Regions from separate parts of the Mus musculus genome. Here all the other regions are reported to be linked to region 1. Evidence: microRNA targets listed by miRTarBase, many of them from high-throughput screens and not tested one by one. Region 1 holds a microRNA gene; each other region holds the end of a gene's coding sequence.

Region 1 (4,067 bases):
GTGCCAGGACATCTGCTATTCCGGCATCTGTGAACCTTGCTGACTCAAGAACACCAGCTGCTGCTGCAGCTATGAACTTAGCCAGCCCTAGAACAGCAGTGGCTCCTTCAGCTGTGAACCTTGCAGATCCTCGAACCCCTGCAGCTTCAGCTGTGAACCTAGCAGGAGCTAGAACACCAGCTGCATTAGCAGCTTTGAGTCTCACAGGCTCTGGGACACCTCCAACTGCTGCAAATTACCCCTCCAGTTCCAGAACACCCCAGGCTCCAACCCCCGCAAACCTGGTGGTGGGTCCTCGATCTGCGCATGGCACAGCTCCTGTGAATATTGCTGGCTCTAGAACCCCTGCAGGCTTGGCTCCCACAAATCTCTCCAGTTCCAGGATGGCTCCAGCATTGTCTGGTGCAAACCTCACCAGTCCCAGGGTGCCCCTTTCTGCTTATGATCGTGTTAGTGGCAGAACCTCACCTTTAATGCTTGATCGAGCCAGGTCCAGAACACCACCATCTGCCCCAAGCCAGTCTAGAATGACCTCTGAGCGTGAGCGGGCTCCTTCCCCTGCTTCAAGAATGGTTCAGGCTTCTTCGCAATCTCTTCTCCCTCCTGCACAGGATCGGCCTCGGTCCCCTGTGCCATCTGCTTTTTCAGACCAATCTCGTTCAGTTGTCCAGACCACTCCTGTAGCAGGGTCTCAGTCCCTTTCATCCGGGACAGTAGCGAAGTCCACATCCTCTGCTAGTGACCACAATGGCATGCTTTCTGGCCCTGCCCCTGGGATATCCCATGCTGAAGGTGGGGAGCCACCTGCCTCTACTGGGGCCCAGCAGCCTTCTACATTGGCTGCTCTGCAACCAGCTAAGGAACGTCGGAGCTCTTCCTCCTCTTCATCATCATCTAGCTCCTCCTCCTCTTCATCATCTTCATCGTCATCCTCCTCTTCCTCTGGCTCCAGTTCTAGTGATTCAGAGGGTTCCAGCCTTCCAGCTCAACCTGAGGTGGCACTGAAAAGGTGAGGCAATTAAGGGATCTAGGGAGCAGGGACTTAACAATGGGTGGGTGAGTAGGGAGGGAGAAATCTTGTCAAAAGCACTTGGCTTTGAGAAAGTATGGGGGACCTTGGCCTTCAAGCTGGGAGTAGAAAGAATGTTGGGCGGGGGCTTTGTGGGGAGGAATGGGACAGATAAAAGTCTCCAAAGGTTAATTCTCCAGAGGATAATGATAAGTTTTCCATCTCTACAGAGGACAGAACTAGAGGAAATGGACTTAATTTTACAGCAGGAGGGATGGCAGTTAGACCTCAAGAGGAACTCCCTGGGCTGGAAGGATCTTCAGAGGTCATCCCATCCCTCTCCCTGCCTCCAGGCAGGACGGCCCCTCCCCAGCCAACCTGCACTCACAGGGGCCTCCCCAAGCTGCGGCTCTCCAAGGAAGGAGATCACCCAGCTTCAGCTTCCACATCTGAGTCCAGGGGCCTTAATCCTTCATCAGGGACATTCTTGAGGTTTAACCTTGATCCCTTGTGCTTCGGGCCCCAGCCTGTTGCTTGTGTTAGCAGAGGTTTGGTCAGCTCTGTGCCACTGCTCCAGAGAAGTACTACTCACTGGCCTGCCTTCGTGTTTTCCCAGGGCTTTTCTCAGGCACCCCTCCCCCACTGCCGTTCCTCCAGGCCAAGGAAGGTAGGGTTGGGGTTGGGGCATCTTGTCTCCTTGTGACACCTTTCTTCTCTCACAGGGTTCCCAGCCCCACCCCAGTCCCAAAGGAGGCTATTAGAGAGGGACGTCCTCAGGAACCAACCCCGGCCAAAAGGAAGAGGCGCTCTAGCAGCTCCAGTTCCAGCTCCTCCTCCTCCTCCTCTTCCTCTTCTTCCTCTTCCTCCTCCTCCTCATCTTCCTCCTCCTCTTCTTCCTCTTCTTCCTCCTCTTCTTCCTCCTCTTCCTCCTCCCCCTCCCCTGCTAAGCCTGGCCCTCAGGCATTACCCAAACCTGCAAGCCCCAAGAAGCCACCCCCTGGCGAGAGGAGGTGAGTGCTTTCTTGCCTGTTGTGGAAGGGGGGTTGGGGTGAGTTCTCCAGAAAGGGGACCCTGGGTGAGGTTCCTGCTGGGGTGCCTCGTGTGGACGTCTGTGACTGGTTGTACGGGAGAAGGAGTGCCGGACTCCTCCCATCCTCCCACAGTGTTGTATTCTGGTCAAGGGCTGCACTATCTAACTGAGGTGTCCCAGGCCATATCTGGGAAGTCATAGGATTCTTCCTCCCTCTCCCCTCCCCTGACAAGCAGCCTGGTCTCAGAGATCTAGCTCTAAGTCTCCCCATTGCTGCTGCAGGGCTCTGGTCTGGCCACCGTCATCTTCTCCCGACTCTGTCCACAGCCTCCTCCCTGTCTCCCTGCCTCCACGCCATTCTCTTCCACACGTAGCCAGAGGGATCTTTCTAAAACGCACATCTGGTTACTTCCCTTCACTCCACAAATCCTTCCGGAACGCCCTGTGGCCTGCAGGATAAAGTGCCACCTCTGCGGGAATGGCGTGTGAGGCTCTTCACCAGCTGCCCTTGCCCGCCCTGTGCTCCTCCTGCCCGCCCCCACACATGCCCCGTGCTCCGGCCATACCCAGCGCCTTGCAGTCTAAGGAGAGCCCCATGCCTTTGGACATGCTGTTCCTTCTGCCTGGGATTTCCTTGTCTGCCTGGTGAACTCGTTCTGCAAGACTGCATTCAAACAGCACCTCCGAGAAGACTGCCCTGCCATTTCCCTGTCCTGCCCAGGTCCCCATCCTTTCTCTGGATCCCCAGGCCCATGCATATCCATCCTGCTGGGCTGTTTCCTATGTAGGGGGCGTGTGTGCCTTCATTGTTAACCTTTACTACCAAACAAAATTCTTCCAAGGGCAGGGACTCTTTTATCTTTGCATCCCCCGCTGCACCCTGTGCCCTGTCCACTGGGGTACTCGGTGGATGGTGTGCGGGCGGATGGGTGAGTGCGGACAAAGGTGGGTCTGAGGCTGGCCCTGTGTGGTGTGAGGTTTGGTGGTCAGGACCTGGGTGGGTGGTCCTGAATGCTTGGCTGGTGGGTTTGGGAGGATGTGGAGCTATAGAGGCCTACTCTGCTTCCTAGGTCTCGAAGTCCTCGGAAGCCAATAGACTCCCTTCGGGATTCCCGATCCCTCAGTTACTCACCCGTTGAGCGTCGACAGCCCTCGCCCCAACCTTCACCAAGGGATCTACAGAGGTAGGGCCTATAGCAGGTGCTAGCAACCTGACTCAACTAGCTACCATTAATTTGTAAGCAAAATTTAAAAGTTTTTGGTATTGTTCTGTGACCTAATTTCTCCTCTTGTAGCAGTGAGCGAGTTTCCTGGAGAGGCCAGCGAGGGGACAGTCACTCTCCTGGTCACAAGAGGAAGGAGACACCTAGTCCCCGTTCTAATCGTCACCGCTCCTCCAGGTGTGTCTCCTTGGAAGTCTGGCCCTTCTGAGAGCTAGTAGTTAGGGATAGGGATATGTGTGGTGACCCAGAATGACCAGTCTTCTCTATTCCAGGTCTCCATAATCTGGATTCCACTACACCTCATACTCTGGAGACATGAGTATTCCTCATTTTTCCCAGAAGAATCATGGAAGGAGTCTTTGTATGCCTTCCCTTGAACCTTGGCAGCATCTTGAGGGGAGAGCGTCCTCTCCCACCCACCCTTTTTTTTTTTTTTTTTTTTTTTGGTTCCTGTGAAATGTTGATCTCTGTGAGTTTTTCCTGGTTCTTGTGTTTTGGGGGTTGGAGTGGGAGGGAGGGAGTCTAGGGAGGGAGGGGCACAGCTCAGGACATCTAGGCCTCAGATTGTGATGATCCAGGGAGTTAGCTCCCTAAATTCTTGGGTGACTGATGGTTTAACTTGGTAAGTTGTAATCTTTCCTGAAAGAGGAAGGAGCTGAAGTTGGTTGGCCCTGCTGCACCCCCTTACAAGGTTGTGAGGCCCTCTCCCCCCCAACTTTGTTTAAGGCATTTTGGTTTTTTAAAATCTGTACAGTAAAAGCAACTTTTTCTGTCAAATAAAAATGAGAAATGCAGTAATTGGTCT
Region 2 (4,067 bases), not on the chromosome of region 1:
CTTCTTATGACTAAGAAGTTACCATTTCCTGCATTTAAAGAAAATGGAATTTTAGCCGGGTGTGGTGGCGCACGCCTTTAATCTCAGCACTCGGGAGGCAGAGGCAGGCAGATTTCTGAGTTCCAGGCCAGCCTGGTCTACACAGTGAGTTCCAGGACAGCCAGGGCTATACAGAGAAACCCTGTCTCAAAAACCAAAAAAAAAAAAGAAAGAAGAAAATGGAATTTTAATCTGTTTTTGGAAGATAATTTTAAAATTATATTATCAAACTTGCTTTCCATCTATCCTCTTTTTTTTTCTCCAGCGATTAGATCACCTTAAGGTAATCACCAGGTAATTTCTTTTTCTTTCCCCGTCACTCCAGCTCACAGAAACCATGACTGAGAGTTTGGGGATCTGTTTTTTGACAGTGATTGGTCCTACTTTACCCAGTGTCTGAGTTAAACACTGACAGACCAGAAGTTAAAAGCATGCTTCTGCTGCTCTAGTCAGTGCCATTCATTGCATCACTTTTTGACTGATGTCTTACATTTTGTTGAAAAGATTCCAAGAAACCAATCCTTATCCTTTTTCCCCTCCTCTAGCTTGTATATAGTGGATACAGCAAAGAAACTCTGAGGCAGAGAGAACTTCAACTGAGTGTACTCAGTGCAGAATCACTGCGGGAGAATTTCTTCTTGGGTGGAATAACCCTGCCACTGAAAGATTTCAACTTGAGCAAAGAGACAGTTAAGTGGTATCAGCTGACTGCGGCAACGTATCTATAAACTTCCGACTTCTGAGCTTTGGAAACAAGGAGTTATAAATGTGTGCGCATGCGCACATACACACACTTGGGAACTTTGTATAATTTCATACTTTGGCAGAAATTATAAACTTAACATGTTGGACCAACTGTCAGTCATATGACTAACTTTTATAGAAGCCATTGCTATTTCAAAGTTATTTTGTTGAGTGCTACCAATCCCAAACTTAATATATACTAAGTCCTGAAAAAGACTTTGACATAATACTGTGTCATTTTGGTCACCTTGTCTGTACTCTTCCTACACAGACACAGCAAATTGTTTTTTGTTATGCACCTCACAGCCTTTACCACTGTGTATGTTCACAGACACCAAAGGAAAGATGCAGCTGCTACTCAACAGGCTGAAACGCAAAGCACAAATAGTAGTCAGAATGCTGAGAACTACTAAGTCGTTTATAGAATAGAAAAAAATACGATTTTTATTCATTGTTAAAGCCTTTTCAGAGTAAGTGCCAATGACTGAAGTTGTAAATAACAGTGCCTTACTTAACTACATGCTTCACTGGCACTCTACTTCTGATTAAAGAGCAAGTAGTTTTCATGCATTTTCACCTTACTGAGGACAGCAAGTCATGCACATTTACTAATGGTTTCTCCACAGAAATACTATTTCCTCTACTTCTGGTTGTTTTCACTATTAAGCTATTTAACTTAATGTTTATTGCCCCGTAATTGAATGAGATTGATATTCAAAATTAGTATTCTAAATTCTATCATTCCATTATCATTTGTAAGGGTGTGAACTGAAATTGGAGTTTCACTTCCATGTATTTATACTTTACTCCCTCATTAAACAAATGGAAATTGTTCAGCCTTATTCCCTATTTTGTTTGGTAACGTGCTCAGGCAGGATAAGGAGTTTAATTTAGACATTTATGGAAGGTGTTGTGTAAACTGTCCTGTATTTGGAAACATTGTACATTCACATGAAAGAATTATTTTCTGTAATATACTGAAATGAAAATTGCAAGAGAGAAGTGTGAAGTTACTGTGGAGTAGCCATTAAGAATAAGATTCATTTTTAAAGCCAGGCATGGTAGCACACGCCTTTAATCCCGGCACTTGGGAGGCAGAGGCAGGCGGATTTCTGAGTTCGAGGCCAGCCTGGTCTACAGAGTGAGTTCCAGGACAGCCAAGGCTACACAGAGAAACCCTGTCTCAAAAAATAAAAAAAGATTCATTTTTATTCCCCATTTCAGACATAATTTTGTTTAGTTTTGATAAACATGTATATATAATAAATTTCTTGGTTAGAAGTTCAAATATTTTTAGAAAGGTAATAGAGATGTAGCAAATTTGGTAGTTAAGAGAAAACTGACAAACTACTTAATGAAGGGTACCAAGAAAGGACAATCGGATTCAGTTCGCTAGAATAAAATTTTTATGAACTGTACAAAGTGATTGACAGAAATGATGATGCTTACAGAGTTAAATTAAGAGTTAAGAGTGTTATCATTGGAATACATTTTTTAAAAAAAATCAAAACTTGAAATATTTGGTGCCTAACACTATGGTCCATTTGTAGGGAAACCTGTATGAGTATGTGAATTTTTTATATTAAACTGTGTTGTCTACTTGATAATTGAAATGAAGATCTAAGCACCGTTGTTTGCTTTTTCCACAATTAACATTTCCTTAAATAGTTTTGCAGATGTAAGTAGCACTAGAATATTTTTTTTCTTTTGAGAGAAACCTAATTCCATTCCATGGGTCACCCAGACTTAAAAAAATGCTGTTTGTAAAAGGTCGTCATTGACTGGACTCGTGGACCTTTTTGTGATCTGTTACCGTGTATCTTAGCAGAAACAGAATTAAAAATGTAATGTCACTTCAGTGACAAGAAATCTGATTAATATCTAAAAGTATATATTATAAGTAATACTGTATAGTTAACAAGAATTCAAAAGGTGATACTGTCTCTTAATTTTACTCAATTTGTGCCTTCTTTGGTCATTAGAATACATATATTTTAATGTAAGTTATTTCTTTGTAAAATGCTAATCTTCAGCCCATACCAAAAAAACAGTGATAGGGAGGAAGAACGTAGCCTCTGTGCACTGCGGCTGCAGTCACCATAGTCAGCTGGCTTCTAGAGCTTCTTAACAGTCACCTTAAAATACATCGGAAAACGAGAACGCTAGACAGGCCAAGACACTAATGTTTATGTATATCATATTTATAACTACCTTCAAGTAAAAATAAGTCTGCTACATACAAGTCCTGTGCCAGAATTCTTTGTTCTTGCCAGTGCTCTAGGATCTGAAGATGATCGCTCATCCCAAGAACCTGTTTTCTCTGAGGAATCCAATGAGACTGGCACCAATGCTTTATATTACTGTGTTTATGGGAATGAGTTGTTAAAGCATGTGTATCTTTTTTAAGTACTTTTTTTTCAAATTAAAGTTGTATATAAAGTTCAAAATCTTGCCTTAAATTGTTTAATTCTTTCTAAGACTCATGAATTGTAACATTTAAAAAAATTCACTTTTGATAACTCAGATTTAAACAAACACTGAAGACCTGCTATTATGATACACATTTACTTACACGCTGTTCACCAGCAATGCAAACATACATGTGATTACTAGTGTCGCCTGTAAGAAGAAAATGCTTTAATTATATCAGCATAGTGAGTTAAGATGTATAATATTTTTATTAATACTTGGAATATATTCATTGAATTAAATGTGACTTCATAACTATACTACAATTAAAATATTTCTGAAATAAAGGAACTTGGCTGTCATTTCCTTCCTTCTTGATTCAGTATTTTGGTTTTAAACTTTAATAATTATTGCATCTTACCCAGGAGTTTGTAAAATTTATCCTGAATTTGAATGTGATTCTTTGAAGGTCTAGATAATCTGCTACAGCCTATCATTTCCTGAGATGTGAATTCTGTAGGCATGGTTCTTGGTCTGTGAAAGTTCACTTAGCCACATTCGGAAGTGCAAATTAACACCATACCTTTATTCTGGATTATGAGCACAAGACTGGCTCTCTAACCATTCTAATAATTTGGAAAAAAAAAAACCAGTATAAAGACCTTGAAAGGACAATTAAGGGGCTGTTGAGATGGCTAAGCGGCTAAGGGCACTAGCTACTCTTCCAGAGGTCTTGAATTCAATTCCCAGCAACCACATGGTGGCTCACAACCATCTACTAGAGGATCTGATGACTTCTTCCAGTGGGCAGATTTATATGCAGCAGAGCATTCATACATTAAATAAAAAGCCTCTGGCTCCCAAAATCTTCAGAG
Region 3 (4,067 bases), not on the chromosome of region 1:
CTCTCCCGAGCTGACTCTGACCCCCATGGACCACACACCTGTGGCCACGTCCTCAATGTGATCATCGGCTCTAACTCTCTGGCGCTGGCTGAGGCTCAGAGGCAAGCCGAGGTGCTGGGCTACCATGCCATGGTGTTGAGCACAGCCATGCAGGGTGATGTAAAAAGAGTGGCTCGGTTCTACGGGCTGCTAGCCCGGGTGGCTGCAGCCCACCTCACTCCATCCTTGGCTGAGCGTCCCTTGGAGGAGGAGGCGGAACTCCATCAGCTGGCAGCTGAGCTCCAGCTCCCGGACCTGCAGCTGGAGGAGGCTCTGGAAGCGGTGGTAAAGGCTAAAGGGCCGGTCTGCCTCCTGGCTGGTGGTGAGCCCACGGTGCAGCTGCAGGGATCTGGCAAGGGCGGTCGGAACCAAGAACTGGCCTTGCACGTGGGAGTGGAGCTGGGAAGGCAGCCACTGGGACCTATTGATGTGCTATTTTTGAGTGGAGGCACTGATGGGCAGGATGGGCCTACAAAGGTGGCCGGGGCCTGGGTCATGTCTGATCTCATCAGCCAGGCTTCTGCTGAGAGCCTGGACATCGCCACCTCCCTCGCCAATAACGACTCATACACTTTCTTTTGCCGCTTCCGGGGAGGAACACATTTGCTGCACACAGGGTTGACAGGGACCAATGTTATGGATGTCCACCTCCTGATTCTTCATCCTCAGTGATGGTGTCGCTCACCGTGTGAGAGTGTAGAAGAGGCCTTCAAGGGCAGGGCCTCTTAGGAAGGTCAAGGGCCGATTCCCAGGCCCCACTGTGCCGCAGGACTTTTCCTCCGTTGCTCTGCCCGCCTCCCTCGGATCTACTCTATGCTTGTTCCCCCAACTAGATTAGAAGATGGGGGCTTCTTTCTACCCCTAGTTTCTGTCATGACAGCAGGTAGCCCTGAGGCCCAGCAGGAGCTTCTTGGCCAGTCACAGTTCTCATTTTCTCCCTGGATGCCTTCCTGCCCAGGTCCTCAGCCTGTCTCTTCCATGGAGCGAAGGTAGGGCACTGAAAATAAAGAGAATGTTGTGTGTGGGGGTCTCAGCTCATCTCCCCTCAGCACCTCTTTCCATAGCACAGATCCTCGGGGAGCTGCTGGGCAGGGACCCGTGGTGTGGCCCCAGCAGTGGTGCCAGTACCTTGAAGAGTTTCTCATACCCTTTTTGGCTGGGTGCACACTCAGGGTCTGCTGATGGCAATCTGTGACAATTGAATCTGTCTCCTAGCAGTGTCAATGTGGGTTAACAGGACAGGCTTATAGTTGCCTACTTAACCCTGACTCCCTGTGGTAGAAACCTGATCATGGTTTCTCCTCTCCTGCTGTTGCCTGACTGGGTGGAGACGATCCACTTGTCACCACGGCTCTTCCTTCTGTATTTGGACCACTCTCAGCTTTCCCCCTCACCCTCTGGCTATCAAGGGGTTTCTTCAGGCCGCAGGCATTGCACTTGTTCTCCTGTGCCCACTTTTCCCAGGCTAAACATTCCATGTTCCATTGTCGCTCCTCCGGGTACCCAGTTGGGACCCTGGTGCCAGCATTTCAGTGTGTGTCTCAGCACTAGAATGGTAGGTCAGAGCAGTGAAGGACCTCAGCAGTCCCTCACCCCATCCTGTCATAGCTGGCAGAGGTGAGTCACTTGGCTTGGCCTGCAGCCACTGGCCTGGTTTACCTCGAGCCCTCTTGTTCCACATCAGAGCCCTCTGTTGGCTTATCCTCACCGTACGCCACGGCTCCAATCCCTATATGAGCGAGCAATAGAATCACATAGGAATAAAAAGCCATAGAGAACAGTGAGGCCTGGGGCGGCCCCTGTGGGCCCTTCTTCCATCGTGAGGGTGTGAGGGGCTCTAGGTCAGAGCTGATGTGTCCTGGGAAGGGCCTCCCATCTCCACTGGGCTCTGGACAGTCTAGCTAGAAGTTGGGCCATGGCTTGCAGACCTGGCTCCTGTGTGTGTTCCTAAGACTGAGAAGGAGGTAAGCAAGGTGAGCTGGCTCTGAGGACCAGACAGGCTTAGGGAAGTGGAGTGGTTTGTACCATTTCTTTCCTTCTGTCCTTGTGCACAGGATCAGAGACTCTGGGGATTTTGTCTTTACGCTGGGGTTCTGGTATCCTCTAGGAGTGGCTCTGTCCCCGTGTTCTTGACCTTGGGAACGTATTCCCATTGGACACTGAGTTGCAGGCCAGAGCTTCAGGAGAAGAGCTTTTCAGCCGCATCCTTGGTGTCTCTGTGAGGTAAACACGTGAGCAGTGGACACTGGTGTCAGAATGCATCCACAGTGTACCCATGGGTGCTTTTCAGAGTAGGTTTGCTCGTGGGGACCACTGTCACCATTGCCTGCTGAGGGCTTCACATATAGGTAGAGTCTTTTTGTTGGAGGCTCCCCGTGTCTGCCTTGGTCACTTTCCTGTACCTATGCTCTCAGAGTCTGGGGGCCAGGGTCTGAATTGGGCCCCATTATAGCAAACAGTTTGTGGGCATAACCTTCTATATTTGCTCACCTATTTATCTGGTCATTCTAGATGATAGAAATAAACAAATTCCTCACAGTTAGAGCTCAATAGGACTGTTTTTTTTGTTTTTTTCTCTCCATCAATATCAAGTATGGAGCCAGGCCTGGTGCACAGGCCTATAATCCCAGGTACACGAGAGGACTCTCAGAGTATTGAGAGCTCATGGCTAGCCTGAGCTACAGAGTGAAAGCCAGCCTAGGCAACTAAGAGAGATCCCATTTTAAAGACCTTTAAAAAGGGTCGGGCAGTGGTGGTGCACGCTTTTAATACCAGCACTTGGGAGGCAGAGGCAGGCGGATCTCTTGAGTGTTTGAGGCCAGCCCAATCTACAGAGTGAGTTCCAGGACATCCAGTGCTACCCAGAGAGAACCCCTGTCTCACCAAGAACAGCAGCAGCAGCAGCAGCAGCAGCAGCAGCAGCAGCAGCAGCAACAACAACAACAACAACAAGAGGTCTGGGAATGTGGTCAATGATACTATTCTAGCATGTGTGAAGCCCTGGGTTGAGTTCCCAGCACTGAAAAATAAAATAAATAAATGAATGAATGGCTATATGCACATGTGTCTTACTAATTATGGATTATTAGAGACACGGCCCTCCTTTGGCTCTCAGCTGCCGTTTCTCCCGACTCAGGTTTTTGCTGGCCAAATCCTTACTTTGTCATCATGTGCTGATACTTTCCATGGCTTGAGGATTTTGCCACAATGGTGCTCAGGCCTCCTTCACATTAAAGCCTTCTCATTCTCTGCACTTGGCATGACTGTGGGTCTGGAGAGCCTTTCACGGTCAGCTTAGGTAAACCCATTTATCCTATGGCTGGAGAATTAGAGGAGATGGTTTATCAGGGACTGTAGAGCAAGTCAGTCACAGACCAGGGATGTGAACCTGCTTTGGGCTTTTGATACACATTCTCTGCTGCCCCCTGGGGCTCAGATACCATGGGGGCCAGCCCAAGGCGAAGCCAGAGTTAGGGGATGTGCCATTGTTTTCCATGTTGCCCTCAGTGGTTTGAGGATGGTGGCATGACCAGACTTAGCCTCTCCAGGGATCTGTAAAGCAGATTTGTTGGTCTCTTTGTGGTCTGGAGGAGCAGGGTGTTGAGTGGTTTAACAGGAGACCCCACGAGTGTGAATGGTGGGCATCTACATAAATGTGTGCACACACCTGAGTATGCATGTGTAGGGGTTTGTGTCCAACCAGTCACCGTGTGGACCTCCACACTGCTCTGCTCCATTCCAAGGTGTAGATGGTTTGCTGTGTTTAGAATTTCAGGAATATTGTGGGGCATGGTGGGTAAGGACACCTTAAAGGCTGGCAGAGGCAGGATGGCAAAGGGCCCCTCCCTCCCTCCCTCTCCTTCCCTCTCCCCTCTCTCCCTCTCCCCTCCTTCCCTCTCCCCTCTCTCCCTCTCCCCTCCCTCCCTCTCCCCTCTCTCCCTCTCCCCTCCCTCCCTCTCCCCTCCTTCCCTCTCCCCTCCCTCCCTCTCCCCTCCTTCCCTCTCCCCTCCCTCCCTCTATCCCTTCCT
Region 4 (4,067 bases), not on the chromosome of region 1:
GACTGGCGAAAATACATGTTGGATGACACCAAAGGTTTATACTAATCTCAGAATAAGGACTTTGCTTTCTTAAAAATGTTTTCTCATTTTTTTCCTCCTATGGAAATTATCAGAGTAAACCAATTTACAGAGTAAACTGGGGAGATAAACGAAAATAATGCCATTTCTTTCTTTTACATTTTTTTCATGTGTATGAGTGTTTGTCTGCATGTCTGTAAGTACATCATATGCGTGCCTGGTAGTTGAGGAGGCCACACAAGGTCACTGGACTCCCTGGAACTAGATTTACAGTTGGTTGTGAACTGCTTTGTAGGAATTGGGGACCCAGCCCTGTTGCTCCGTAACATCTGCAAGTTACATCTGCTCTTAAGTGATGGGCGTCGTCTCTCCAGACACATGTGCTAGTCATTCTGAATGTGACACCTAACCTAACAGATCTGGCTGATTCGCCCTTTTCAAAACTTGTGATATAGCTATTTACAAATCATTCTTACATTTTAGGCACTTTCACTTTTCTAATTCCCAGTCATAATTTGTAAAGTCAGTAACATGCATAGATAAGACTAGTTATAATCAGGTAAGATGTCCAAGCCCGGTCTAGACGCAAAGCTTGTTTTATAGAGACCTTCATTGCATGGTAGAAACAGTCTTTTAAAGTGTTCGAGGTGTAGGCCAGGACCCATGAATGCCTTTAAAACTGAACCGATGCTGTGCCCCTCGAGTGACTGCTCGTTCTCTTGTCTTTCCAGTGCTGTACATAAGTACACAGAAGAGGCGGATGTGAAGACACCAGGAGGCAGTGCTCTTCAGAGATGGATAGATGAAGTGGTTTTGGTTCTCTTACCATCTTAGTTGGCCTGTTTTCATGGTGGCTGGTGGGGGTTTGTTTGTTTGTTTGTTTAATTGACATTGGAATAAGATAGAGGTATTGCATTACAGATCGACTCTTAAGTTTTTCACATTTATGTCTCAGTCTTTATCATTTCTGCCTGTACAGAATGCTAAAACTAAAACAGTTTGTTTCTCCAGGATTATTTTACCTAAGATTCCTGCCCTGTCATTCCATTGGTTGATTACGTATTCAGCTGACTAAGTGGTACATCCCGGAACCTGTGATCAAGCATTCTGGAGGCATCCTTTGTCTCTTTCTCTACTCACCATCCGTACCATTTAAAGCAGGTAGATAGAAAGTCATATGGTTTCAGCCTTGGGCTATAAAGGGACAAGAGGTCAGAAAATCAGCTGTTTATTTAGTCACCTAGTTAGTGGTGGTATCTCCACAAAGGAGTGCAACTGTAGAGTCAGGAATTGGAAAGGTCAGCCACGTGAGGTGAGACACTGCCTGGAAGCCTCCTGTGCAGTTAGACTCTTCATGTTAACTTGCTCCCTGTTGAGAGTGTTGGTGCAATGGCTGGTTACGCCAGCCAGGGGAGGAGCTCTACTGTTCCTGAGAAACTGGCTGTGGCTGAGGTGGTGCAAGCCCAGAGTGCTTAGACTCAGTTTCCAGGCACTGAGCTTCGGCTGCGAAAGTTTCTCCTGCTTTTTGCTTTAGCAAGTGGCCTTGGGGAAAGGGTTGTATTCTTGGCCTTCAGGTCACGTGACTCCCGCTGAGCGGGCTTGTGCTGTCTGTGGACTGTGTGTGGGTGCTTTGGTTGCATGGACGCTAGGGCTTTCCTTACCCTCCTTCAATCTAAACAGATCCCTGTCTCGGGAGGTCGGACAGTTTTAGAGCAATTGCCCGGCTGGAGGAAGTGGAGGCAGATGGACAGCTAAGGAGGGAGGGTGTGCTTTCTGGAGAGGTGTATATATGGCATTTGTCTAATTTAAATAGTAATCAGAAACAATTAATAACTCAGGAAAGAGAGGAGTAAGGTTTGATGGTGTGCACACTGAAAATAAAACACTTTATCCTAAGCTTCAGTAATTCATCACTTCCTGACAGGGGCTTGCAAAGGCACCAGTGTGTAAGTACAAATCACCAATTTGCTCTTTTATAAATGGCTTCTTTAAAGGAGAAAATGGATGTCTCTCGGAGTGGAGCACACATGTTCTCATTTGTTTTTTAGAGTGTGTGAGGCCGCCAGGTTACTGCATCCCTTCATTCATCCCCTCAGCTGCCCTGAAAGCAGCCCTGCTGTTATCTCCAGCAGTCTGTAACATCCCGGCTCTGCTCATTTCTTCCCTGACCTCCCCTCCAGCCTGCAGGTCTTTATTTCCCTCTTGCCATTTCTAGCTTAATAGCGCTACTGCAGAATATTGTTTTCATCCATGGAACCGCTTTTAATCAAGATGGACTTTGGGAAATGCTACCATTTTTATGGTAATAACCATATTATGCATCTGGACCAGCACATGTTGTCCCCTGTGCATACCTTCTTGTGATAGAATTCTGAAACAAATTGTAAATGGTAAAATTACTTTTTTTTTAACTGTAGTCTCCTCGTGGTCTGTGAATGGTTTTCAGTTGGATGGTAGCAAAGACAATTGTTGTAGGGTGAAAATTTTTCACTTGAGTAAATACATTTTCCGTGTCCCTATGCCCCCAACCACAGTTGCCACCATCTTTCTCTTGGGCCGTGACAAAACAGAATGTCTAGCAGGAAACAGAACTTGTGCTTGCTTTCCAGACTATCTGCCTTCATATTTTGTTTTGGTCTGTGAGCTATTCCTTGGCTAATCTTGCAGACTGAATCAATTCTTACTTCAAAAGTGTTTATCCCAAACAGAGCTGTAGACGAGTACAAATACAGATGGCGGCCATGTGGTCTGAACCATGTTCCCCCTCAGCCTGCAGACAGGGTTCACATCTTGAGCATCATGTTTGAGGCCATATGTAATGCATGCGAGGAGTTCCTAATGATGTGACAGATAGTAACAAATGCTTAAGGGATTTCCTCAAGGTTGGAAACAGCAGCATCGACTTAAGTGTGAGCCGCATCACCCTGGAGGCTACAGTCAGCTTCATTAGAAACAAGCACTGTGGGAAAACTGTCTTTGATATTCACAGTGCCTCTTGGATGACAGCATTCCAGGCCAAGGAGCCAGTCTGTCCCTCAGTGCAGATTAGCATACATGCCCGTCTTTACAGTGACTTTTGGTTTAAGAGAAAATGGTGTATTGGCTTGTTCCTCTTGTGGGAAGATCTCAACCTTGGAGTTCTCATAGCCAATCTATGCTTGTCACGTTTTATTTGTTTTTCCTGCCCCAAAACAAATTATTGGTGAAAGAAGCCAACTGCAGTTTTTCCCTCACGACCTTCAAGCGGCTGTGCTCCACAGCAGCTACCTGTTCTAATCAGCTGGCTTCTGAGAGTACACGGCTAGGTGTGCTCTGATCTGAATAATGTCCAGCAGGGGGTTTTATCCCAGGAGCTGCTGCCGTGTCTACTGTAGTTGGCCAAGCAGTTATGAGTGTTTCCATTGATCAACCATTTGTGATTCCACAAAGTCTTGCCTAAAGGACAGGGTGGACAGTATGCACCTCTTATGTAATAGGGCAAGAGACAGCCTCAAGTGATGCTTGCTTATTGTCTTAGTTGTTACTGCTGTGAACAGACACCACGACCAAGGCAACTCTTATAAGGACCACATTTAACTGGGGCCGGCTTACAGGTTCAGAGATTCAGTTCATTATCATCAAGGCAGGAACATGGCAGCATCCAGGCAGGCATGGTGCAGGAGGAGCTGAGAGATCTACATCTTCATCTGCAGGCCACTAGGAGAAGACTGGCTTCCAGGCAGCTAGGACAAGCTAAAGCCCACGCCTCAGCGACACATGTCCAAAGAAGTGCCACTCTCTGGGCCAAAATTCAAGCCACCACACTTACTTTCTTGAAAAGTTAGAGGAGCTAACTAGGGAGGGGAGTTGGAAGAAATGATGTTGATGATCAGCGCCCACTGAATGGCAGCTGTGGACAGGATCTATGTGGTACCCTAAATGAATAAGTGAGATACTACCCCCTGTGCACGATAGGAAGTCACTTGCAAGTCTGGCTATTTATAGGAGAAAGTACCTGACACTGTCTTTTTAGATGGGACAGGATTTTAAAATAGTTCATAAATGCATTT
Region 5 (4,067 bases), not on the chromosome of region 1:
AGGATGACCAGAGACATTCCATTTACAACCCCCCACCCCCGCCCCAAGGTCTCAAAGCTGGTAATACTCAAAACTGGAAATCAAACAAGAAGTTTAGATTCAGGACTGGGGACACAATGCATACGTATGCCTAGCATGACTCTCAGCCCCACAAAGATCAATTGATGACTCTCTTGATTGATTAACCTTGCTGTATCATATAGTCTCTCTATTGGAGCAGGACCGTGCTGACACAACGATGGAGCCAGTCAGTGTTGATTAGTCTCCCCAAAGAATACAGTTTGTCTTCCTAGGCCCAGATGATAAGTTCTTATGGAACTGGGTCTGCCAGCAGGGGAAATGAATAGAAGATGAGAATGGGTGTTGCCAACACACTGGCCTGGACTCTCCATCCCATTCTGCTTCTGCACATCCCCACCTTCTACTAAGAGACAAAGAGCAGTGAATTTCGTTTGTCCAATAATCTTGAAAGCATTATTTGAAGAGAAATATAATGTTTAATTTTAGGCATGGAAAGATCAAATAAATTATATAATACCAAAGGATGGAATTTGTTCCACCACGGAAAAAGCAGCACAGGGTAGAACAATTATAGCATATTCAAGTGCTAAACAACTTTCAAGCAGATATATTGTTTGAAGATACTTTATTAAAATAAAAAACTTTCCATTACATTTATCTATAAATCCATCATAGGCCACAGGGAAATAAATGAAAATCTGAATCTTCAGGGACATTTTTGATTCCATAGTTTTGTAAATCTGAGTTTACATGTTTGCTCACTTTAAATTACTACAGTTTAGGTACACTTGATGATTATATAGTACCAGGAATGTCAGCCTTATAGATGCCAAGTTTCCACATTACTCAGTAAAGCCATGGTTATTGTTTCAAGTTTATCTCTTTACTTTTAGGCCATTCTACCTGGGAGATAGAGGAGAAAAAAAGCACCTCATACCAGGTTCAACTTTAAATGGATAAACAATGAAACCCTGCTTTTCTAATAGTGGCTGGCACTGCACCCCAGAAACAAGCTGCTGAAAGCTAGGAGCAAAGTATTTTTCTCCTTGGTGGTGGGAGTGCTGAGGTCAGAGAGCACAGCAAGGCCAAATGCTGTTGGTATCTTGGCCTGGCTTTTATGTTTAAATTAAATCTCTTTATAAGCATCAAGAAATAGAACAGGTAAGGCTACATGCCACCTGATTTCTTAAACTGCTTTATTTCTGTTTATTTATTTTTTAAAGAAAGATGCTCAGCTGTGGTCTAACAGGTGCAGACATTTATATTTTCATGACATTCCATCACCTTCACTACCTACCCCAAATTTCCCAAGCACTAACCCAAAATAAAAACTGAAGAGAGCAGTCACCAGATGAAGAAAAACAATCAGCAAAGATACCTGAGGTATGAACATGGGATACCTAAACTATTTCAGAATGTCCTATGCTGGACACACTTCTCACCATTCTTGGTCTAGAAAGTTCCTTTAGAGAAGTGTACACATCGAGCAAGGGACAGGACATTCCATCCAAACCAACTTTTTAAGACTTGTGCTTCTAGACAGTCCACACAAAGCAGTGATATCAGAGTAGAAATTCAGTAGCCTTTCTCTCTGTGTTTGAGCTGCATGGCTTTAATTAATAAGCACAGAACTTCCATGAACTGTGTTCATTAGTCCAATCATCTGACTGTTGGGCTTGAACATGTAATGAGGTCACTAGAAAAGTTTTTGTTTCTGCTTCACACAGAAATTTGACATTGTCTTAAGGAAAGCTAGCCACGGACACCACCAAACAGCAGTGAACATGTAATATGTGTGTGGACCTATCTGCCAAAAGGTCCAATATTTACATGGAATGTTGATCTTGCTTATAAAACTATATATATATATATATATATATTTGTTTATTTGTTTTTGTTTTTGTTTTTTTCGAGACAGGGTTTCTCTGTGTAGCTCTGGCTGTCCTGGAACTCATTCTGTAGACCAGGCTGGCCTCGAACTCAGAAATCCACCTGTCTCTGCCTCCCAAGTGCTGGGATTAAAGGCGTGTGCCACCACGCCCGGCCCATAAAACTATTTTAAATTATATCTTTACATACAATTTATCTTATGAATAGCCTCATTTGATAATTTAAAAACATGCCTTTCAAATATCTCACAAATATATAAAATTTCCCTACATTTTATTTTTTCTTTAAACATAATATTTAAACTCTTTACAAAGCAACAAGAATAATTTTTTGTATGCAAGTCATAGATGTGATGAATCTTCCATTGACTAATCTGTACTGCTCAGAGTACTGGCAGGAACCTGCTCTAAGATTGAACTATGGATATTTGTAGTATTGCAAATCATTCACTTGCTAGAGACCTAAGGCATTATAGAAAAAGGAACAATGTCATTGAAACATTTAAAAACCCACCTTCCTTTGGAATAGGTTGAAATGCAATCTGGCTGGTGTTAATCATTTTGTTGACAAAAATTTAACACAATATAAGGTTTCTAAAACACACTTTAGGACAATTTACATGTGTGGTGATTGCACACCAGAAACATGAGCACCTCTTCCTTCACTGTGCTCTAACACGTGTTACATGTTTTTGAATACTTATCTCATTGTTATAATTTGTTGAGAAATTCCAAAGCAAGAGAAGAAAACTTTCTGACTCCAGAAATGTCTTCTGAAGAATGATAGATTAAAGCAAGTGGTGCTGTGTAATCATTTCTTGCCCTAAGACAGAGCCATTTTTACTAAACCATGAGGAAAAGTTTGTATCTACATCTGTAGTATCAGTTAAGTCGTTTTTAAGCCTGATGCAGCGGCATGTTCCCGTACTCAGGAGGCTGAGGCAAACAAAGGCTGAGTTCAAGGCTAGTGTTGACAACATAGTGAGACTCTCATCTTAAACAGGAGAATTAGATTTTTCTTATATAATATTGGTGGCATCACTAATATGTACTCATAAGGATTTCCTAAGCTATAATATGTGAGTTACTTCCTCAAGAAAAGATTTGAGTTTCTTCTTTGTTTTAAAGATGTGCACATGAAGAACATATTTTTTAAAGGAGAGTCTTATTTCCAGCTCAGTTAAATCTGTGGATTTGCTCAAGGCTGCCAAGCCCATGCTTTCAACTGTAAGCATGCCCAGTGAAGGGCTGTGAGCACACCTGAGCCCAAGTGAGGCATGAACTTTGATACCTACTGCCTCTCACAAAGAAACAGATTAAAGAAAACCAGTAAATACAAGTTTTGCTAAGACTATAGCATTGTGCAGATTTTGACTTAGATTGTACACTTATGTGCTTCAAATAAGGCTGTGAAAGACATAAACAAACCAGCACTGAAATTTTGACTTTGACATTGAAGACTTTACATCTGTGACAGTGATACTAATTATTAAAAAAAAAATCCTACCAAAACCATGGTAGTTGATCTAACCATGCAACTCTGTAAAAAGACAATTAAGGACATTTCTCTGAGTTATGAATGTAACCAACTCACTGGGACCCAATGGGTATCAGTCTCTAGTTTGTCAAATGTTGTTTTTAGCTCATTAAATGCCACAGTAAGATCATCATTGATTATGATTTTGTCAAAAAGATGGCCATATTGACTTTCCATTATCTGTGCTGATTTAATCATTTCCTGAAAGTCTTCTTCCTATTAAAAACAAGTAATAACAAATTAAGTAACCAGACAACTGCATTATTTCACATAAATGTAAACATTCTACAATGACTACCTAAAGCTGTTATGTGTTCAAACTTTAAACAAAATAAAGAAACAAAATCACCTTCACTACCTTTTTAGAGGTTTTTACTGCTAACATCAGCTTTAGCTGAACTCCCTTCAGGGTCATAACTAACTCACGATTGCATGGACACATTGCTGTTGTCATGGATAGCAGGGGTGCTGTTTACTCTGATGCTCTGGCTTGGCTATTTATGTTTGGTCACAAGAAATAAAGTATAACACAAACTACTTCCTTAGTGTTGGAAGCATTACAGGAAAATAATTCAAATGCCCCTCCTGTGGTCCAGTAGAAGTGTTTCAAAAGCCCTGCT
Region 6 (4,067 bases), not on the chromosome of region 1:
GACAAGTACCACTTCTGCTCCTCACCAACTTAAGAACTGAAATGTGTCTCCCTCTGAGAGCAGTAACTCACTTGACTCTTCTGAGAACACCTCGCTGGCATTTCCACTATAAGGAGACCACTTATTAACAGAGATGTGTGCTCTCGGGGGAAGCATGTTAATTTACTTAATACATTTTTTAAAAGTAAAGATAAAACTCGTGTGTGTGTGTGTGTATGCTCTGCACATGTATGAAGGTTGGATGAAGCGTGAGGAAGCTGGCTTTCTCTTCCCACCATTTAGGTCCCACAGATTGGCAGGCTTGGCAGCAAGCACCTTTACCAAGTGAGCCATCTCAAGCGCTCTTACTCGCTTTTACAATAATATGCATGCTAGTCTAAAAAAGGCCTAATGTTTCTGAAGAGAAATTAAAGGCTATTATAAGTTTCTTAGGCAAAAAATTTTGAAAGAACCATAGATGGTGTAATTAAAAGCGAATCTCAGAGCAATAATTCTAATCAGTATGTTCTCCACTACCATTCGATGGAACAACAGCTCTTAGGACACATGGAGTACAGCTATTTCTTTCTGTCTCTCTTCTTCTAAGACAGAGTTTCATCTAGGCAGAAGGCTGGCTGTGAAATTTGCTATGTAGCTGAGGGAAACTATGCACCTCTAACCCTCCCGTCTTCACATCCCCAGCACTAAGGCCGCAGGTATGTGCCACCGTGCCCAGTTTATGTGGTGGTGAGGATGCAATCAAGGGCTCATTGAATCTTAGGCGAGAGCTCTACCAACTGAACCATTCTAAGCCCTCAGCTATTTCATTAAAATAAAACAACAGTCTTTGGGAGCTGGAGAGATGGCTTAGCAGTCAAGAGACTGACTGCTCTTCCAGAGGTCCTGCGTTCCATTCCCAGCAACCACCTGATGGCTCACAACCATCTGTAATGAGATCCAATGCCCTCTTCTGGTGTGTTTGAAGACAACTACAGTATACTCAGATAAATAAAGTAAATTAAAAATTAAAAGAAAAAACACAATAGTCTTTGTTAAATAACTTTGATGTCAACTATTTTTCATTGATTAAGTGATTAGTTTGAATTTCTCATAGATTAGGGAAAAATTTTTCACTTGAAATATGAGTTATCTATTTGATAAGTAGTATTATTCTTTATTACTTAAGAAAAGAGAGGAGTATTCTTTCTGGAGATAGCTAGCTCAATACTAAGAGGACATTTTCAAATCAAGGAAATCGAAGGACTCCAAAAGACTGTCATTTTGTCTTGAGACAGTCTCTCTATGTAGCTCTGGCTGTCCTTGAACTCGGAAAGATAAACCAGCCTCTGCCTCCCAAGCGCTGGGATTAAAGCCATGCACGACCACACACAGCCTAATAGATCACCTTAATACTGAAGTCCTGCTAATGGTCAAGTTCCCATCCTTAAGTGCAAATTATGACATCCGTTAGTGATTCCTTTGGCAAAAAAGTTCCAGCCGAGTATTAAAAAAGTTTTCTTAATTCTTGTTTTAGATAACAAAACCAAAATAAACTTTAAAATTATATACTCACTTTGCTAATACTTTTGTTGTTGTTGTTGTTGTTGTTTTGGCCATCAAGAGCTTTAAATTATAGAAGACAAAATGAAAGCTACGGCCACTTGGGTGACCATAGACAAGTCATGGGCAGAAGTGAAGTGGAAGGTGGTCAGTCAAGAGCTACTTCTGTGAAATCAGGGATCTACTGTGTTCTATTCTGTCCACTTGGTATCAGAGGGAAACTCAGAGCATGCTCCAGACAAGAAGAAAAAGGAAGAGAGAAAAAAATAAAACAAATAACTTCAATGACTAGGTCACTGATTTAAAAGAAACTTATAAGCCAGTGAGCACTGCCATATAAATTAGTCAGACATTTTATTATAGAGTATATATATATTTATATCAAAAGCACAAAAAGACTTTTATTCTGGGAACTAGGAAGAGTGTGACATTACAGAAGTATGATTCAACAATTCCAGTCCATTTCCACAGGGTTAGGTGCCCCATCGGCTGAAAAGGACAGCTGAGGCGGAGGCCACAGCTCTGAGCCCCCATGGCCCCTTAGCATGATTTCTTAACTCAAACTGAGACCTGCATTTCCAAACCCTGGGTACCCACTTTCCAAATATTTGCTACAAATTGAAGTGGGTACTGAGCCAAAAATCACACTCAAAAATAACCAAAGCTAGCGCTCCTGTATGCTGGAAGATTAATCCTCAAATAATAAGGATATCATAATTGGCACTGTCATCTAATTCTAAATAAAAGAATCATCAAACATCCTGGTGGATCTGCAATGAATTACACAGGAAGCAGTAAAACTCAGAGGCATCCTCTAGTAACTGAGCTAGAAGCGAGTAGCAGATAGTGAGACCCGTCACCGCCTTTGAAGGGGCTGTTAGCAATCCTTAGGCATGGCTGGCAGCTCAGCTCCCACTTCTCAAGGCTTCACCACATGGAACACAGTGGCTGTGATTTAACAAGGACCTTACTCTTCCTGTTTGTTCTTACAGGCCGTTACTATTCTTTTAAAACTTACTCCCTGAGAGGTCCCGGACTATGTCAAGTAGATTAGAGTAAGCTTGCATTTTATCTTCTTGGAAAAACAGAAAACTATCATTTTCTACACTCACTGCCTGCTTAATATTTAAACAGTCATCAGGACAAAGTCAACTTCTGAACAGTTTTGAGACTACTTTAGGGATAAATGTAATGTTTTTAATATCAAATTTATACTAGCCAAGGAGTTAACTGGTGGTGCCGAAAATACAAACGTAAATGTCTTAAAATAGCAATTTGTGCCACCCAGCTTACTAATTAGTAAAGTAGGTCACCACTGCGGATTTATTGCTTTTAATGTGATGAATACCAGATTTGACAGCTGAACTTTGCAGTGGGACACAGCATACTTTTATCTTGAATTCCTTCCTCGAAGTAGGACATGTATATCCATGTAAGAAAAAGACCGTGTAGCAGACATCTCCTCAGTCAACCAGTCTTGTAAACATTGTGTTGTGCAGATTTTCATACTTTGATTCCAAAAATAAGAATAGTTAAAGGCAAATTTAGTAACTGAGGGGTGGGGGAGAGTCTGTCCAGTTTGACTTCCTGCCACATATGGTTACCACTCCTCCCTTCAGAAACAAAACAACAACAACAAAAACCCTAGCAGCACATAAAAAAAGTTGCAAAACATTTCAGTACTCTTTCCCTCCCATAAAACCAAACAAAAATAAAGTGCAGCACCCATAAAAGTGTCAAGAAAATAGCCAGGCTCTTCCTTTCTCGTAACAAACTAGTCCTTGGGCTCAGCAGTCTAGCTGAGTCACACAGTGTCCATCATTCGGTCATCATCTTCTTTGTGTACCACTGAGTCTACACTGCACAGAGGGGCAGGGGTACAACACTGAAGAGAATCTGGATTCTGGGGGAGAGAGAAAGAAAGACAGACGGGGAACAACACTTGAAAAGCAGCTTCACACCACACATGCAACTGTGCACACGGCTTCACCTTCTATTCCTCTGCAGCAGAGCATACTAGGAAAGAAAGTGGAATTGTGGAGTCCACACAGACCGAAACCTGAAGAACTAAAGATAGAATGTTATTCTTTATCCAGACCGAGTGCATATACAGGAACAGAAATGTTACAGATACCCCTCTTATCTCTTTTAACAAAACTATAATTTTAATTCTTTAACCATACAAGGTTAAACTTCCTCATAAGCATTACATTTAATAAGCATGCCTTTAGGAGGCTGGAGAGATGACACAGCAGTACGGAAGACCATGTTTAGTTCCCAGCATAGACATAGCAGCTCACAACCATCTGAAAGTCAAGTCCCAGGGGATCTGAGAGCTGCATGTGGCCTCCGTGGGCACTGTATGCACATGACACACAGATACAGAGTGAGGCAAAACACTCAAGACACATAAAACTTAAAAACTACATTTGTTAAAGTACAGGTTTTAGCCAGCAATGTATTCTTAAGATTATCATCTAATTACAAGAGTTAAGAACTATAAATGTAAAACATTTAGATGAAGGCAA
Region 7 (4,067 bases), not on the chromosome of region 1:
CCAGGCTGGCCTTGAACTCAGAGAACCTGCCTCTGCATCTGGAGAGCTGGGATAGGAATTTTAGTTTTCTTTTTTTTTCTTTTTTTTTTTTTTTTTTTTTTTTTTGGTTTTTGAGACAGGGTTTCTCTGTGTAGCCTTGGCTGTCCTGGAACTAACTCTGTAGACCAGGCTGGCCTCGAACTCAGAGATCCGCCTGCCTCTGCCTCCCGAGTGCTGGGATTAAAGGTGTGTGCCACCACGACTAACCGATAGGAATTTTTAATAGATAATTTTGTACTTAAATTTCATGAATATTTTCTTAGTGAACACCTTTCTATAAGACACAAACAGAAATTTAACTTTTACTTTTTAATTTGCTGTGTGTGTGTGTACATGTGTGTGCTTACACATATGGAAGTCTGAGAATACTGTGTAAGGGGAGGTCTCTACTTCTACAGTGTGGGTCCCAGGGATCAAATGCAGGTTGTCAGGCTTGGTGCAGGCACCTTTACACCCTGAGCCATCTCAAGGGCCTACAACTGAAAATAAATATAAAAAGGGGGCTGTGGAAGCCACCTCATTAAAACCCTAGTTTTGGCAAATAATTAAATGACAACTTTATTGAAAATCAGATAGAATGTGGGAAATCAATGAATGTAGGAACTTTCTCCCCATCAGCCACGATTTCTTTAGTTCAAAGGCACCATATCATTTCCCCAATGTCACAAGGACCTCCCAGCAGCTGGGACCACACTAGATTTGAGACTAAGACATCTAACAGATAAGTTCCCAGAGGGTGTTCTTTCTAATTTCAGATAAGTTTCAACTTTCTTGATTTAAGTTGTTTAGGAAAAAACAAAACAAAAAAACAAAACCTGCCTTTAAATACCACAGTTAGCCAGTCAGCGGATGGGAGACAGACACCCAGTGCAAAGCCACCAAATAGATTTGATTCTATCAGACTGCCTGCTTGTGCTAATATGTAAGAAAGAGATTTATTGTCACGTGGTCATGGTAACTAGGCAAAACTGTCATCCATGGAAACATACCCAGGTCACTATTCATTACTGAAAAGAATTCCAGGTCTGAATTAGAAAAGGTGGTTCTCACAAGCTGACATTCCAGATGCAACACGAAGATATAGCAAAATTACTTACATCCAATTCCGGAAGCCATATTAATACTAGACTTAACCTAAGAAAGTAAGGCAGATGACCAGTTCTGAATTTTCCTAAAACTGTGAACTAAGTATCAATGCAAAAGGCACCCCACTGTGGACAGCCCGCCACATTATGAAGTGTGTGTCCTCCAATAAAATTCCACATGGCACAGCTTCCCACAGCACTGTAAGGAGGGGCCAAAGAGCCCTGTCTCACCCGCCTTAACATTAACATTACATTCTGCTGTCATTCGGTCAAATTAAACACTTCATTAGCCACAGGAGACAGAACATAAACTGAGAACATACAAAAATCTTCATCTCCAGAAGTTGAGATTTTTTTTTCACTCTTTTTTGAGTAGCTAAAAAGGTTGGGAGGTAAATATTTTAGAAGCAATTCTAAGAATAAACACGGAGAGATTGCTGTCACAACAGGGCATCTGTCTTCTCCGGTGCAAGAATTTTAGTTATCACTGTAGGGTTTGACTTGTGGTCATCAGCATTACCAAAACTATGACAGACAATGACAACTGAAAGCTAAGCTCTCAACATTAGACAAGGGGAGCAAACTTTCTCACATCCAGAATTCTCACTCTTAGGGTTTACTTGACAGACGATGTTGTTCTAAATTTGTTTAAAGATGGGAGATAAGATCTTACATGTGAATATAGGCTATTTTTCAAGAATTTTTATAATCAATCATTTTCAAAGTAAGAACACTATTTGGGCTTTGTTGTTGTCTGGTCATTGAAAACCTCACCCGTGTGTGGAGGGTGAGCAGAAGTCACAATATCCACACAGTCAATTAATGACTGTAAGGTAAGTCTATAGGCCCTCGGCTCACTGCCCAGCACCATGGTGGTGGTGGTGGGGTGGTGGTGGTGGTGGTAGGCATTAAATTATACTTGTAGTGAAAAAAAAATTGGATAACACCAGAGATTTCTTAAAAGTGAAAAAAGCAGTAGGAGTGACGAGCTAATGTGAAAGGGAACCATGTATGTCTGAGAATTAAAGTTGAAGTTTGTTTTAATCTAAGCATTTATCTTCATAAAAATAGAGCATCTAATCTCTCATCTAATAGTATAATTCATCTGTATAAGCACTACTGGATTTTCCATAAAGTCATTCTTTCAAAAAAAAAAAGTTTTTAAAAGAAGATACCCTCTTTTGGTTCTTCTAAGGTGGGAATAATAATGTTTTCATTATGAGATTGAAAAAAATATATATACCGTGTATAAACACAACCGTGTATAAACACAACCTTGGGAACGTTTTTTTGAGGCACAAGATCCCTGACACGCGGAGGTACATAGAGACATTTAACATGAAGAAGTCCTGTACAGCACGTCACTTTACAACTGGGAAGGTTTTCTTGGTAATACTCATGCAGTATGCATAAACAATATGGCTGTTGACTTGGCAAGATCTGATGAGACTGCAAGCAAGGGAAAAAATAGACAAAACAAAACAGGTAATCGTGGCAGGAAGAAAAGTTATGCGAGTCCTTCCTTCCTTCGAAGCCCTCAGAGGACCGTGCCTCCTGCCATGAGGCTGAAGGTCTAAAGCTGAACACCAATAGTACAGAACGGTTACTATATTATCTTTGTCTGTCGCTGACAGTCCCTTCATTTGACACAAGGCTTAACCTTTGTTTGGCGACATAAATTTACATTTTTCCCCATGCAAATAAAAAAATGTCTATAAAAGTCCAATGAAGGCATAACCAATTACATGCAAAATTGTGACATCTTGTTTTCCAACAATTTGAACACATTTAATTTACATCACATATGTACAAAATATGTTTGAACGGAAATAAAAGCATTCTCTTGAATTAAATTATAGATTTCAGTATAAAAATCTTCTCTGTGTAGGGAGTTTTCTTCACTTCCAGTCCCAAGCAATGGGTTCTTATCTCTACAGTGCTTGCCATGGGGGGACGCTCCCAGCAGGGGGAGAGTGGGAGAGTGTGACGGATGGAGCCCGCGCTGTAAACATTAAGGATTGCTGGCTCTTTTTACAGACCGGGACACTGAGATACACCCCAATCTCTAACTTCCACGGTGAGGGCACTCCAAGCCAAGTTCATGATCCAGCACTGTGGTCTACCCCACCATGAGAATGACTTCTTTTAATAGTCTTCAATTGGAGCTAATTCTGGCATGAGGTTTACAGATATATTTGTATACAGCCTATCAACCAGTATTTTGGGTGTGTATAATAAATTGTTCAGTCCATCGATGTACTGCCGCTCCTTGGAATACCGAAGTAATTTATACCTAAGGGAAAACAGTGGGAAATGTGTTCAAAAGAGGAAAATATATTCTGAGGCATTCTTATAATAAAGGCATGCTTTAAACTCTCTAAGCCATTATTTTAAATTAGACTAGTCAAAAACAGGTTACCTTAAAGAGAGAGAATTTTATACTGTCACAAGTTAGATTATATTTTAAGAAGGGAAACATTCTAAAAATAAGAAGTTAACTAGTTATGAACATAGGCATGATTGTGTACATCTGTCTCTTCCTCTATATACACACACATACACACATGCCACACAGACACAAAGATACACAGACCACCCCCCACATACACACACAGACACACACCCTATAACTGTAACCCAAAAACATTTGCCAGAGACCTTTGATTATGAAAGAAAATTCCTTCCTTTAAAACAACAACAACAACATACAGCATAATTAATTTGGAAGCCCCGAAGTCTCAAGATGACATCACACTCACCGTCCTAGGAACTGTACCTCCCCTCGATGGTGATGAGGAATAGATATGTATTTTCCCAAGTCCCCTTCTGGCCGGGTTACATTGTAGCCGGCGTAGTGAACTCTGCAGGATAACATAAAATGAATTAAATGAATTCCAGAACAAAAAGAGGAAACAACAAAAACAAATCTGAGACGTTCCAAAG

What was found. The annotated mature microRNA mmu-miR-5125 reads UCUGCCUGGGAUUUCCUUGU and lies in region 1 at 2,658-2,677, shown strand. An mRNA with a match to its seed (bases 2 to 7 or 8) in the 3' UTR can be bound and repressed. Matches are read on the target gene's strand: a 7mer-m8 pairs with bases 2 to 8, a 7mer-A1 pairs with bases 2 to 7 and ends in A, and an 8mer does both.
Region 2: miRTarBase lists Pik3c2a as a target of mmu-miR-5125. Seed matches in the 3' UTR shown: 7mer-m8 at 1,652-1,658 and 7mer-A1 at 1,876-1,882.
Region 3: miRTarBase lists Glyctk as a target of mmu-miR-5125. Seed matches in the 3' UTR shown: 7mer-A1 at 2,823-2,829.
Region 4: miRTarBase lists Lsm6 as a target of mmu-miR-5125. Seed matches in the 3' UTR shown: 7mer-A1 at 1,756-1,762, 7mer-m8 at 3,660-3,666 and 7mer-m8 at 3,734-3,740.
Region 5: the mRNA of Mpp7 is a reported target of mmu-miR-5125. Seed matches in the 3' UTR shown: 7mer-A1 at 2,019-2,025.
Region 6: the mRNA of Cdc37l1 is a reported target of mmu-miR-5125. Seed matches in the 3' UTR shown: 7mer-m8 at 2,651-2,657 and 7mer-A1 at 1,325-1,331.
Region 7: miRTarBase lists B4galt6 as a target of mmu-miR-5125. Seed matches in the 3' UTR shown: 7mer-m8 at 942-948 and 7mer-A1 at 199-205.

The regions. Positions count from the first base shown.
Region 1 is chr17:23,820,682-23,824,748 of GRCm38, forward strand. It overlaps Mir5125 (microRNA 5125), which reads left to right and starts at 2,610; the gene lies at 2,610-2,688. It overlaps Srrm2 (serine/arginine repetitive matrix 2), which reads left to right. Exons shown (of 15, transcript NM_001368687.1): 11 at 1-1,009; 12 at 1,732-2,019; 13 at 3,110-3,223; 14 at 3,335-3,439; 15 at 3,535-4,060. The coding sequence ends at 3,544. It overlaps Elob (elongin B), which reads right to left. Exons shown (of 4, transcript NM_026305.2): 4 at 4,059-4,067.
Region 2 is chr7:116,336,741-116,340,807 of GRCm38, reverse strand. Pik3c2a (phosphatidylinositol-4-phosphate 3-kinase catalytic subunit type 2 alpha) reads left to right here. Exons shown (of 33, transcript NM_011083.2): 33 at 585-3,532. The coding sequence ends at 767. The region is part of intron 1 of Gm10589 (a long non-coding RNA gene); the gene reads right to left. Among named protein-coding and RNA genes, the nearest start is that of Rps13, 4.6 kb to the right of the region's middle.
Region 3 is chr9:106,151,885-106,155,951 of GRCm38, reverse strand. Glyctk (glycerate kinase) reads left to right here. Exons shown (of 4, transcript NM_174846.4): 4 at 1-3,092. The coding sequence ends at 711. It overlaps D030055H07Rik (a long non-coding RNA gene), which reads right to left. Exons shown (of 7, transcript XR_003948237.1): 3 at 3,199-3,796; 4 at 2,923-3,058. It overlaps Mir135a-1 (microRNA 135a-1), which reads right to left and starts at 1,828; the gene lies at 1,739-1,828.
Region 4 is chr8:78,804,928-78,808,994 of GRCm38, reverse strand. Lsm6 (LSM6 homolog, U6 small nuclear RNA and mRNA degradation associated) reads left to right here. Exons shown (of 5, transcript NM_001191004.1): 5 at 750-4,067. The coding sequence ends at 784. Among named protein-coding and RNA genes, the nearest start is that of Lsm6, 14 kb to the left of the region's middle.
Region 5 is chr18:7,347,482-7,351,548 of GRCm38, forward strand. Mpp7 (membrane protein, palmitoylated 7 (MAGUK p55 subfamily member 7)) reads right to left here. Exons shown (of 17, transcript NM_001081287.2): 17 at 481-3,663. The coding sequence ends at 3,484. Among named protein-coding and RNA genes, the nearest start is that of Gm34979, 2.8 kb to the left of the region's middle.
Region 6 is chr19:29,015,381-29,019,447 of GRCm38, reverse strand. It overlaps Cdc37l1 (cell division cycle 37-like 1), which reads right to left. Exons shown (of 7, transcript NM_025950.4): 7 at 1-3,442. The coding sequence ends at 3,344. It also overlaps a transcript of Ak3 not described here. Among named protein-coding and RNA genes, the nearest start is that of Cdc37l1, 27 kb to the right of the region's middle.
Region 7 is chr18:20,685,052-20,689,118 of GRCm38, forward strand. B4galt6 (UDP-Gal:betaGlcNAc beta 1,4-galactosyltransferase, polypeptide 6) reads right to left here. Exons shown (of 9, transcript NM_019737.2): 8 at 3,884-3,985; 9 at 1-3,417. The coding sequence ends at 3,270. Among named protein-coding and RNA genes, the nearest start is that of Gm16090, 22 kb to the left of the region's middle.